Linked DNA regions of Caenorhabditis elegans. Changing the gene in region 3 together with the main gene of any one other region gives a genetic interaction. Each region holds a gene or a part of one and is shown on either strand. Other genes may lie near its edges. The genes, in order: sex-1, egl-18 and lin-25.

What was found.
Region 1: of lin-25 (region 3) and sex-1, changing one enhances a phenotype caused by changing the other (phenotypic enhancement), as found in Caenorhabditis elegans (one large-scale study listed by BioGRID).
Region 2: of lin-25 (region 3) and egl-18, changing one enhances a phenotype caused by changing the other (phenotypic enhancement), as found in Caenorhabditis elegans (one large-scale study listed by BioGRID).

The regions. Positions count from the first base shown.
Region 1 is NC_003284.9:10,203,586-10,207,340, reverse strand, and holds the start of sex-1 (Steroid hormone receptor family member cnr14), read left to right. Parts: upstream 1-1,919; coding exon 1,920-2,093; intron 2,094-2,207; coding exon 2,208-2,400; intron 2,401-3,323; coding exon 3,324-3,472; intron 3,473-3,755. UniProt on the Caenorhabditis elegans protein: Transcriptional regulator which is involved in the sex determination and X chromosome dosage compensation pathways.
Region 2 is NC_003282.8:1,911,429-1,915,183, reverse strand, and holds the start of egl-18 (Putative transcription factor egl-18), read right to left. Parts: upstream 1,739-3,755; 5' UTR 1,713-1,738; coding exon 1,587-1,712; intron 1,542-1,586; coding exon 1,011-1,541; intron 500-1,010; coding exon 254-499; intron 1-253. UniProt on the Caenorhabditis elegans protein: Probable transcription factor. Involved in embryonic development and in vulval development in larvae, acting redundantly, at least in part, with elt-6.
Region 3 is NC_003283.11:12,648,123-12,651,877, reverse strand, and holds the start of lin-25 (Protein lin-25), read right to left. Parts: upstream 1,954-3,755; 5' UTR 1,922-1,953; coding exon 1,889-1,921; intron 1,819-1,888; coding exon 1,704-1,818; intron 1,657-1,703; coding exon 1,574-1,656; intron 1,527-1,573; coding exon 1,417-1,526; intron 1,367-1,416; coding exon 1,279-1,366; intron 1-1,278. UniProt on the Caenorhabditis elegans protein: Participates in the inductive signaling pathway downstream of let-60 Ras and the RAF/MAP kinase cascade to regulate specification and differentiation of many cell types. Positively regulates the fate of vulval precursor cells.

The DNA.
Region 1 (3,755 bases), on a different chromosome or scaffold from region 3:
ATCGTTAAGAGTAGAGAAAAATGAAACAGCTGTTTTCTTTTTTTTCTTGGAAAAATGCCTGTGTAGATGGAAGAACATGGTGCAATAGAAACAAATTTATGAATTGTTCAAAAATTCGTCATTTTGAAGAAAGTACATCGACAGATGCACAAAATTTCGCAGAGAGTCTTTTATGCTTTAACAGTTCCAGCTGTCGTTTTGATGAATTTTCCATAAAGTACAAAGTTAGGGTGAAGTTTATTTGTGAAACGGGAATGCAATTCGTGAACTCATAAAGATTGTGCATGTTACTGAAACGTCTCTTCGTAATAGAAACCGGGGAAAAGGCATAAGTTGCATCATTAAGAGATGTTAGCTAGGGAAAGATGTGCACGAAGGTGTATTGTTATGTCCGAGTGTACAAGTGGAGGACGAAATATTGGTGATCTAGAATTCCGTTAGTAATTTAGATGCCTTACTAGTTACACAGTTCACGCAATAGCCGGCGAGCGTTAATTGTTGAAGTTATGTGCTATATTATGTGCCATTTTTGGAGATATTAATAATATTCACTCTTATTAGAGTATCCTCCCGTCCTATATATTTCATCTCCCAAGTTGTGTATGCGCAAGCGATGTGCACCAATTTTTAAAGGTGGTTGTAAACCGGCAGACCTCTTTCCAGACGGTGTCTTGTTGTGCGCATTCGCCTCTTCTCCTCCCCTTTGCAGACTGTTCATTTCTCGATCACAGTTGTCTCGTTTTTCATCTCCAACAATTGCGGACCACTGCATTGCCTCCTCTTCTCTCTCAGTCCGCACTTTTTTGGATCGATATTTTGTTTTTCATTGTGCATATCTCTAGTTTGTTGAGTTTTCTCTGTGTGATTCTTTGCAACTCTGTAAACATTATTATCTTACTCTTCTCACTACACGTCATCGCTTCCCAACATCTCGTCACTTCTCCTCACCCAAGAGGTGTCAATTCACACCTTAACATGATGGTGAAGTGAGCTCGAGTGGATAGTACTTCATCTCGAGCCCTCCTTCTGTTGCTTTATCTTACCGTCTCCTCTTCCCTAGTTTTTTCCTGTGAGAAAGGCACGCAACCATGCAACACATTGTGTATGGAATATCTAATTGCAAATTGCGCAAGAATTGCCTAGAACAACGCAATCATTTTCTCGGGGGAGAACGCAGTAATCTTGTTCGCTCAAACTATCTTCGTTTATTTTTGTGCGTGATTGTGGACTTGGCTGATCAATTTTTGCATCCATGATTTCTACCAAAAACTTTTAAAAAAAAAATGCACACATGTGTAGTAGCGGCTTAACATGTGAAGGACTATACTAGGTAGTTATAAATTGTATCACATCTTCTCAACCTAGTTGAATTTGTTGGAAACTTCATAATGCTTTTGGAAATTGTTCTATTCAGATCACTTTTGAATTTTAATTTAAGAAGTTGAACACGTTTCTTACTTTCCGGTACTAAAATATCAATTAAAAGGTAAAATTTTACTCTAAAACCATGTGTGAAGCTCACCTCATGCCACCCGTTTTTTTAATCGAAATGTGCTTGCTTGTCGAGCAATCTCCCAGTGGTGCACTCCTCCTCAGCTCCGCCTATCCTCCTCGTCTCTCCCCATCCTCTCACCCACAGGCAGGCATTCAGCGCAGATTAATACACGATACCAGCCTTCCTTATTGCTAGTTAATAGTTCCCTGCTTTAAAAACTAATTGTTGATTTCTAGATTCTAGCTTTCCATGTTCTCTTCATCAAATTGTTATCACGTTTTTCTCGAACTGCTGTTCTTTTCCTTTGTCAGCAGATTTTCCATTTCTTTCTTTTACCTTTCAGATAATTCTCTTACCAATTCTCTGTCTCTTCCCACTGTGAAAGTTGTCCGTTACTGCATTACTCAATAATTTTAATTTTCAGATGAGTTTCGAAACAAAACCTAACTATCTGTTACTGACAAATCCTGACACACCGCTTTCTGTATGCACATCTCCATACTACAGCCCTTCTGGAAAAACAGCTTCAATTCCATCATCAGAGGCAAGCAAACCAGAAGGAACAAATGGTCAATGGTCACATCTTCCGACTGGAGCTGTAAGTTTTTGTCGTCATCATTTTCATATTTTGTTCTGATTTACAAAGTTAATGCGTAGTTTCAAAATAGAAATCCAGGAATTAAACTGAAAACTAAATCTTCTCAATTTGCAGACGTACGTGACGGATGAATTCTCGTCAGAATTCCAAATCCAAAACGGATCGACAGCAGCTCAAAGTGGTAACGCCAACAACTACGCTGACCCTCTCTCACACCGTCGCTACTTCAATAACGTCAATGGGTACAATCACCATCAGTTCTATGATACGGCGTCACAAGCCAGCGTGAGCTCGCCGGCAACAAGTGGTAAGTTAGGGAGTCTATTTCTATCAAAATCTATCAGTAGGTGGGGCATATCATCAAGTGTGTGGTGACAAGTGGCAGCAACATCTACAGCAACACAGATTTTTTTCCTCACCTAAGAACATGTGTCTGAGAAGTGTTGCAAGTTTCCGAGTTTCTCTCGCCTTTTTTCTTTATTTCTCCCATTTAATTGATAGAAGAATGAGAGCAGAGAAAATGAAAAAGTCTAATAGACTTTGCAATCATTCTTCATCTCTTCCCTCTCTGGATCATATTTAGCTCGATAGGGACCAGATCAGTTGTGCTCTGTTCCACGTATCTTCCTGTATTCTAAGATGGCCTACTTTTGTACAACGAAAGTGAAGGCAAGCGGCTATGACGTGGTTGCGTAATAATCTCCAGGTTTCGTCATTTCTTTGGACGTCCGCTGCCAGACCACAGTGATGTATGGGTACGGTAATAAAAGAATGCCGATGGGTGAAAGAAGAGGAGAAGACGAAGTGTAATAAAGGAGGAGAACGTAGAGAACGGTGAAAGAGTGCGATGTAGGCGTGGTAAAAAGACTGTGAGAGTGAGAGAGACAATGAGAACGCATATGCCACAAATCTTGAAGATGTGGCTAAGAGCTTACTGAGTCGCGGAGAGAACGGGACCAAGGAAAACTAGGTAAATACTATCACGTCATCATTGAGAAGGAAACAAATATGGTGTGCACAGTGTACTTCAATAAATTTCACTGGTATACATAGCATGTTAAATCTGTAATCTGCCAAGTTGAGTTAAATTTGTATATTTCTGATGTGTAAATAAGTTTAGAAAAAGAATAAAACAGAAGAATTCGAAGAATCGAAGAAATGTTGTATGACCATATCACCCACTTGAAAATTGACTCTTCTAAAATTTCTTAGATAATTTTACATTTACAGTAACTTCATCGTTGTCTCCTCCTGATTCCTTATCAAATGGTCATACCACTCAACGTCATCACATTGGGAAGGCGATCTCATTTTGCAAAGTATGCGGAGACAAAGCAAGTGGATACCATTACGGAGTGACGTCATGCGAAGGATGCAAGGTAGGCATGAATGGTCCTAAAATGATCACTAATCACGTGGTTCTATTGAATTTAATGAAACCCTTCTCCACTCATAAATCCCCTTCTTGTTCTATTTACGAAACCTATATTTATGACCGTCTTATTTGATTTTTTGTTTTCCCTTATGTTAGACCAAGAGCGAGAGAATGAGCACTTCCCCAACACAAATTGCGCAATTATTTGGAGACTGTGTATTGCTATGTGCATTAAGGACTCTCTTTTCCCATTGTGCGAGTGTCTTGGATGCATACTAACATAAGAG
Region 2 (3,755 bases), on a different chromosome or scaffold from region 3:
CGCACAACTAACACATAAAAAGTAAGAAGACGAAGAAGATGGAGAAGAAGAAGAAGCTAATCTCATATTTCAATCTCCCCTCTCCTTCACTCCTATTTTCCCCTCATTTTGCCGCTATCTTAACTAGGTTGTTTCCTTCTATTCGCATCAGATAACAAACACTCTCTTATTCCCCCCATTAGAAGCTGTTACTGCTGCTACTCTACTGTCGCTGCTAATATCTTTCTGCTAATGAATAACACGACGAACAAACCTTGTGCAATCGATAGTAGAGCCCACACGGATTGCAGACAAGCTTCCCCTCGGCGTCACGTCGCCACGCGGTTGTCTTGTCGGTTCGGCAGTTGGAGCATCGCGCCGCGTTCGGATCACCACTCGTCTCGGTTTTCTCAAACATTGAACTGTCTTGGCTTTGGGATGATGGTGTGGCGACTGCTTCGATGACCGCTTGTACTTGGGATGATGATGATGGTGGAGATGTGGTGGAGGTCTGGAAGAACTGATATGTGATTAGGAGTGAATGTATTTATTGATTGATTGAAGGAGCTGCTGAAAGATCGCAGAGATCCTAAAGAACTCAGGGTGGATCTTAGAAGCTCCTCAAAGATCCTGAAAAACCCTAAAGCAGCTAAGGAGCTCTGGGAGGTTTCAATGGATCCTGGCGACTTTCAAGGGCTCGCTGGAAGTCCGCTGGAAGTCAGGGCAGCAGTTAAAGCTTGTCAAGGTGCGCAATGATCCTGAGCAACTTTGGGAGCTTCCGGACCTTCACAAGGGTTTCCCCAGAAGTAGGCTCCTCAAGGAACCCTGCGAACTCCGATCATAGAGCTTCGGGAACTTCTCCCCAAAGTTCTCGAAAGATCCTAAATCCAATCAGGATCCTAGAAATCCTAAGTGCAAAAAAATCGCGCAGCGGTAGATTTTCAAAAGCGAACGCCGCCTCCCGGGGTGATATATCTTTCCTTTGTTCGCCCCCCCCCCCCCCCCCCCTTTGGCCCTTCCTCAACACTTACCGCCTGTCCGTTGCTGCTAAACTGTGCTGTTAGTGCATCCAAAAGGTTCTGCGCCTCTGTAGCCGTCGGGATATCGGATCGCTCCGACTCTTCCTGTTTCACATCCTGATCCATTGGATCTTCAATTTTCACGGATTTCGATTGTGGTGGGCTCACGGATTGTTGATTCTCAATGTGCTGGTGGTGTTGTTGCTGCTGCTGCTGCTGTTGAACCATTGATAATAATTGCATCATTCCATTTGGATTTGACATATTCAGAGGATCAAACATGAATCCGTTCATCAAATTCGAAAAGTCTGGAAGTGGACTCGCAGCTGCCGGTGGGCTCCGCTCCTTGGGCTTCCGCTTCCGGGCTCCTGATACTGGAGCGACTACTGTCTCGACAAGCTTCGGAGAGCTCCTCGACTCTGCCGGTGATGGTGAGGCTTTTCCCGATGAGACCGATGAGCTTTTCAGCTCATTGTTCTCTTTGAGCAGCTCGTCGAGCCGATACTGAAGTTTGTCCATTCGCTCCATAACCATGCTGATTGTCTGGAAATTTTTTAATTGTTAATGGTTTTTTGAGCTCTAAATTACCTTTGCAACATCCTTCTGTAACTGTTTGCAACCACTACACGGCTCATCTGACGGCCTCTGGAGCACTTCGTGGTGTTGTTGCTCGGCGGATTCTGGTCTCGTTTCCGTCATTATGCTGATCGACATATAGACTGTGTGGAGACACTGCAAAAAATGGAAAATTTAGAGGGAAAATGTGCAGGGGAAGTAAAATATCAAGAGAGTACGAGGATAAAATTTTGACCTGAACAGAGTTGGGGTAGGGCTTAAAATGGGTGATTTTGGACTAAAAAACTGATTTTTCGGGGGACAATTTTATTTGAACCTTAAAATGTACTACTATGGAGGTACCAGAAATTGACGGCCTAAACGGCCTAAAATAGCCGTTTTGTATGGAGAATTCAGGCCGATAAATAGCTTAGTTTTAATTCTTAAAGGGTCAATTTTTATCAATAAAAGCCTATTTAAAAACTATTTGGGGCTAAAAATACGTAGCATAAACATAGGGATCTACTCAAAATTAGCAATTTGGAGATTAAATTTAAGCTATGAATCAGAAAAATGCGGACTATTTCGGCCTAAAATCGGCTTAGTTCAAGCTGAAACTAGACAAAAAATAATCAAAAATATAGGTCAAAACTTTAAAAAGGGAGGCCCTCCTTACTGACAAGAATGGACCAACAAGTAAATAACCATAAAATGACACTGATCAACGCGAAGAAAATGGGCGGGATATTGTGTGGAGAAGAACGCTACTCACCGCCCGTCTCCGCCCCTTTTCCCCCAGCCGGACAAACGTGGAAATTAGGTGGATAGGGGGGGGGGGGGGGGGGAAGAGGGGAGACGATTTGTTGTGTTGTTGTACGACAAATTATGCACGTAGTATCACCCCGACACTAAACCTAATCGATAATTGTAGATGTGCCAAATTTTAGCTTGTCGATAACGGAAGTTGTTTGGAACTGTGCCAAGTGTCAAGGAAACTCGAAATATATCAATTTTTCAAAATTGGTGTCTTTTTTTTTGCATAAAAAAGCTGGAAAAAAACAGATTTTGCCGGAAAACCGTTGTAATTTTTCGATAAAAAAGTGCTAATAATGATCCCTCCGAAAAATTCAGCTGCCCCGGTTCAGGTACAGCAAAGTGATGGCGTTTTGAAAGTCTCTAAAACACCTTATTACAAAATTTCCAAAAACAAAATTGGAATCTTTGCCATGTTTTTTTAAACATTTTTTTGATTTGCTACAATAGTTTTTATCAATTTAAAAAAAAAATTTTTTTTTTGAAAATTTGAGTTTCGGTATAGATTAAGGATGGGCGGCACATCGGCAAACTGCCGGAATTGAAATTTCCGGCAAATCGACAATGTGCCGGTTTGCCGATTTGCCGAACATTTTCTGCAAATTGGGAATTTGCACGTTTTTTTTTAAATTCTGAATTCCAATTTTAATCGGCAAAAAGTGTACGCATCCTTTTGAAAAGTAAACAAATTCTATGATTTCCGGCAAATCTTATGTACGGCAAACGGCAAATCGGAATTTTTTTGGCAAAAATTGCAACTTCCGGAAAATCGGCAAATTGCCGAAATTGAAGTTTTCCGGCAACTCGGCAAACCGGCAACTTACCGACAAAAAAATTGGCAAAACGCCAAGTGCCGGCCACCCATGGTATAAATGCTCAAAATTGGTCGAATCGAGCGGAGAAATCTGTGAAAAAGCTTTCACCGAGCCCTGAGCTAATATGCCAGGTAAAAAATCAAACAATTTTCCAGGACAAGGCTGAATTCTCAGCTAATCTCAGATAACACCTGCCGAGAACCTGTGTGGCGGTAACACCCTGGTGGTCCATCTGACAAGGAGACGATGCACCATAACCGGTCTAAGAGCCCGTAAACAGTGGTGTCCTAACACAAGAAACGATGAGGTGATGAGTCCGTGATGAGTCCGAACAAAGGAATGCAGTGGAGAATGTGAGTGTATGTGTGTGTGTGTGTGACGATGTTAGTGAGAAGATGGTAATCTTCAAACATTCTTATCGATTCGATTGGATGGCTGCTGATCAGAAGAGTTGATTGCGATCTTCTCTTCGAAACGAAGTCTCTCTCTTTTTGCCTCAACTTCTTCCTCAACATCCTTCCTTTATTTGGGCCGTCGTCACACGCGTGTTAACACCGAATCAGTTGCGCACGAT
Region 3 (3,755 bases):
TGCCAATAACGAAAACGACGAAAACGTTACGTTTGAAGCCGGAAAATGGGATTTTGATACGAAAAATTATTTTAAAAAATAAACTTTTTATATACACTCTTGGAAAAATAAGAACTGTAGTGGTTTTTGAGAAAAAACATTTTAGGCCCAAAATTTAATTTCAAATGTTTCATTTCTGTATCTCGTATCAACATGCATGTACAATTTTCTAGAAATTTCAAGTCAAGGGAAGGTTTTCACTGGACAACAACGTTTATACGCAGGATATTATTTACAGGCACACTCTTTTTTGCCAGTAGAAATAACTACAAAAAGGACCATTTAGTTGTTGATAAGGAGAGTTGACAAAGTTTTCAGAACTAAATATCTGAAAAAGTAATGGAAGCTTCTTACTTCGTACAGCTCGGTTGGTTTCACATATTCCTTGGAACCGCGGCCGCCACTCGCCTGTTTGGAGAAGTGGTAAAGCGCGCGCTCTTCAGTAGAGTCATTGCTGGTTCGAATCTGGATCCATTCAGATTTTTTTTCAAATAGTTTGCACGGGAAAAGTGTTCCTTATCTTAAGCTTAACAAGTTTGCGATTGATTAATTTTTCGCATTCCCTCTGTCCGAAAAGATATGTGGGTATATAGAGCCCTACTTGTCGAGTTTCTTATTATTATGCCAAATCACAAAGTTGACAGGAATGTTTTCAAAAACGACAGATTGAGAATTTTTCTACAATAACTGATCAGTGCCTAATAAGGTTTCAAAATAGTTTTGTTTGGAAAATTTTCATAAATTTCATTTTCCCGTTCTGATATCGTCGGATTCAGTTAAAAACCGCTCAGACAGTAGTATATTTCAAAAGTTGGAAAAAGAACACAGCTATGAAACTTTCATGTTGATTTCAGAGTGAAATTGTAATTATACCTAAAATCTGCTACAAGGTAACTTTCAAATTCCAACTTTTGATATTCTTTTTTTCATTAGGTAGTAAAAAATCGTTAATCGTAGTAAAAGATACGAATCGTAGTAAAAAATCAAATTCGGAAACCGTAGTAAAAAAAACGGCCGTAGTAAAAGATACATTTCGTAGTAAAAAATCGAAATTGGAAAATGTAGTAAAAAATACGGCCGTAGTAAAAGAGTAAACCGTAGTAAAAGAGCAACGTAGTAAAAGATGAGGTAGTAAAAGAGCATTTGCCAATTTTGAACATATATTTTGGTAACCTTCAACATGTAAGCTTTTAACTTTAAACAACATTTATCGCTCGTTAAAAATACTAAAAATCTTACTTGTATCAGTTGCGCGAGGAAGAAAACAGTCGGCTTCATAATCGAAATAAGCTCATCTGCATGCAATTTATCAGAAAATGACTTGATTCTGAAATTAATAAACTTGGCAAAATTTTTCAATTAAAAATGCCAACTCACTGTACATAGTTGACCATTTCCCGGATCAATTCGCATTGCAAACATTTCGAATAAATTCTATCTGTTTTTGTATTTATCACACTGTGGATGACTTGATTCCAGGTGATTGACTGTAAATTTATAATTTTTTGGAATAAAACAAAGAACTACAGAGTACCTTATCTACGACAAGTTTGAGAAGATGGTCCCGGAAAACATCATCGATATATGTTCCATTATAAGCAAACCGAATCAAAATATCTGAATAAAATATATTAATACAATTACAAAAAAGAATTGCAACAAACCACAAAGCTGCTGAGTTGAGATACCGGGAAAGTCAACTGGACGAATGACTGATGATACTTTTTGTCGTTTTTCATTTGAGCAATTGCGGAGTTTGTCAATATATTCAATAACTATCTAAAAAAAAATTAAATACAAAATAAGTTTGTTGAAATTAAAATAAAAATTTATTTAAAAAAAAACTCACTTTTGTTGAACTATCAATTTTGATACTATTCATGATTTAATTGATTTAAATTTGAAGCATTTAAACTGTAACCAAAATATATTCAAACACCGACATTAACCCAATATTCGGTGCAATAGTATAAATGGATGTGAGACGTAGACACGCAATAGAGCGAGGTGGCCGAGTGTTTATTGTCCCCCACTACTTGGGGGACTAGGTACGATGCATTCCTCTTCCATTGTACATTTTCTGACATAGGAGGGATGTCTTCCTTCACTTCTCAGAGTCAATGAAAAATTGGGCGTGGACGGCATTTATTTTCAATGATTCTACACAATTTTCAGATGTAATAATCAAACTGCCACCCCAACAATCTCTTAAGACGATTTAATTCAGCTTCATTCACTTTTCATTTTCAAAAAAAAACTTTAAGCTTGTTTTAATTACTTGTTTATAAGTTACCATGGAAACATTACATTTTCTAAAATGTGCTTTGCACTCAAACTATAGTTTAAGTTTATATATAAACTTGGAAATAACAACTTTCAATATCTTGAGCATGTCTCAAATTATTTCATTCGTAATTTTCACTAGTGTTTTTATCAGACCCAAAGCCACTATTGTAAAAAAAAACTAGGCAAAACTTTCAGCCTTTCAAAGCTGGGTGCATCATTTTCTTCATCGGCCAAAAATCATGTTCTCGGCAGAGAGCAACTTAAGAAACAGGTGGAGGTTAAGTAAAACTTTGAGTGAAAATATATTTTTGAAGATAGATGAAAACTTGAAAATCGAAACACAAATACTCGAGGAACGTAAGAAGAAGGCTTTAAAGCTTCTTATCATAGGTACCTGATTAAAAAAAAAAACATAATCAAAATGTAACCTTTATTATATTTAGGTCCGGGAGAGTCAGGAAAAAGTACAATAGTCAAGCAAGTAAGGTAAATTCAATGAAAACTACATTTTTTCAGTTGCTTCCAAAAATTATCACCTACTCAGCTGATTTTCAAAATAATTAGATAATATATTATCGGTAGTTTGTAATATTGAAATTTTGAGAATTCTTCATTGTGGAGGATACAGTGTTGAAGAAAAAAGAGCTCTAAAACATGGAATTTATATAAATATCTTGGAAGGTATTGATGAGATACACTGGGCAATTATGTGGAGACAATTAATTTACGAAAATCCATCTTCAATTGTAAGTAATTACCGTATTTCCTCTATTAGTTTTGCACCCCTTTGCTCAACTTTGACAACTCATATCTCGTTTTGTTTTAAGCATATAAATAATTAACAAACTACAAACGTTAGAAAACATCTTGCAAAAATTTTATCAGTTGACAACTTTTTTATAAAACAAACGACTACTGAGATATGAGCTGTGAAAGTTGAGCAAAGGGGTGCAAAACTAATAGAGGAAATACGGTAAATGTTTCAAAACTAATTTCCATTATAGGAATGCCTAAATCAAATCCGAATATTTACGAAACAGTTCAATAAAACTGGAGAGACTGAAAATGTTTTGTGCAAAGACATTATAAAGTCTATCCAGATGTACATAAAAGATGAAACAGTTGCCATGATGTTGAGGAATAAAACTGTTTATAATATTGAAGACTCAACAATTCAGCAAGTTAAACGTTGGGTTTTATTCAGTCTAATTATTATTATTTCCAGTTTCATTGAAAACCTTGCAAGAGTTATTGGAAAAGAATACTTGCCAACCGGAGAAGATATATTGAAAACCAGAGTCCCAACCTTGGGAATTGCACAATATGAAGCAAATATAAAACATTTGACTTTCAAGTAACACTTTGTTCAGTTTGTTGTGGTTTTTGGAAGGAAACAATTATTTACAGATTCATTTTTTTCGACATTGGGG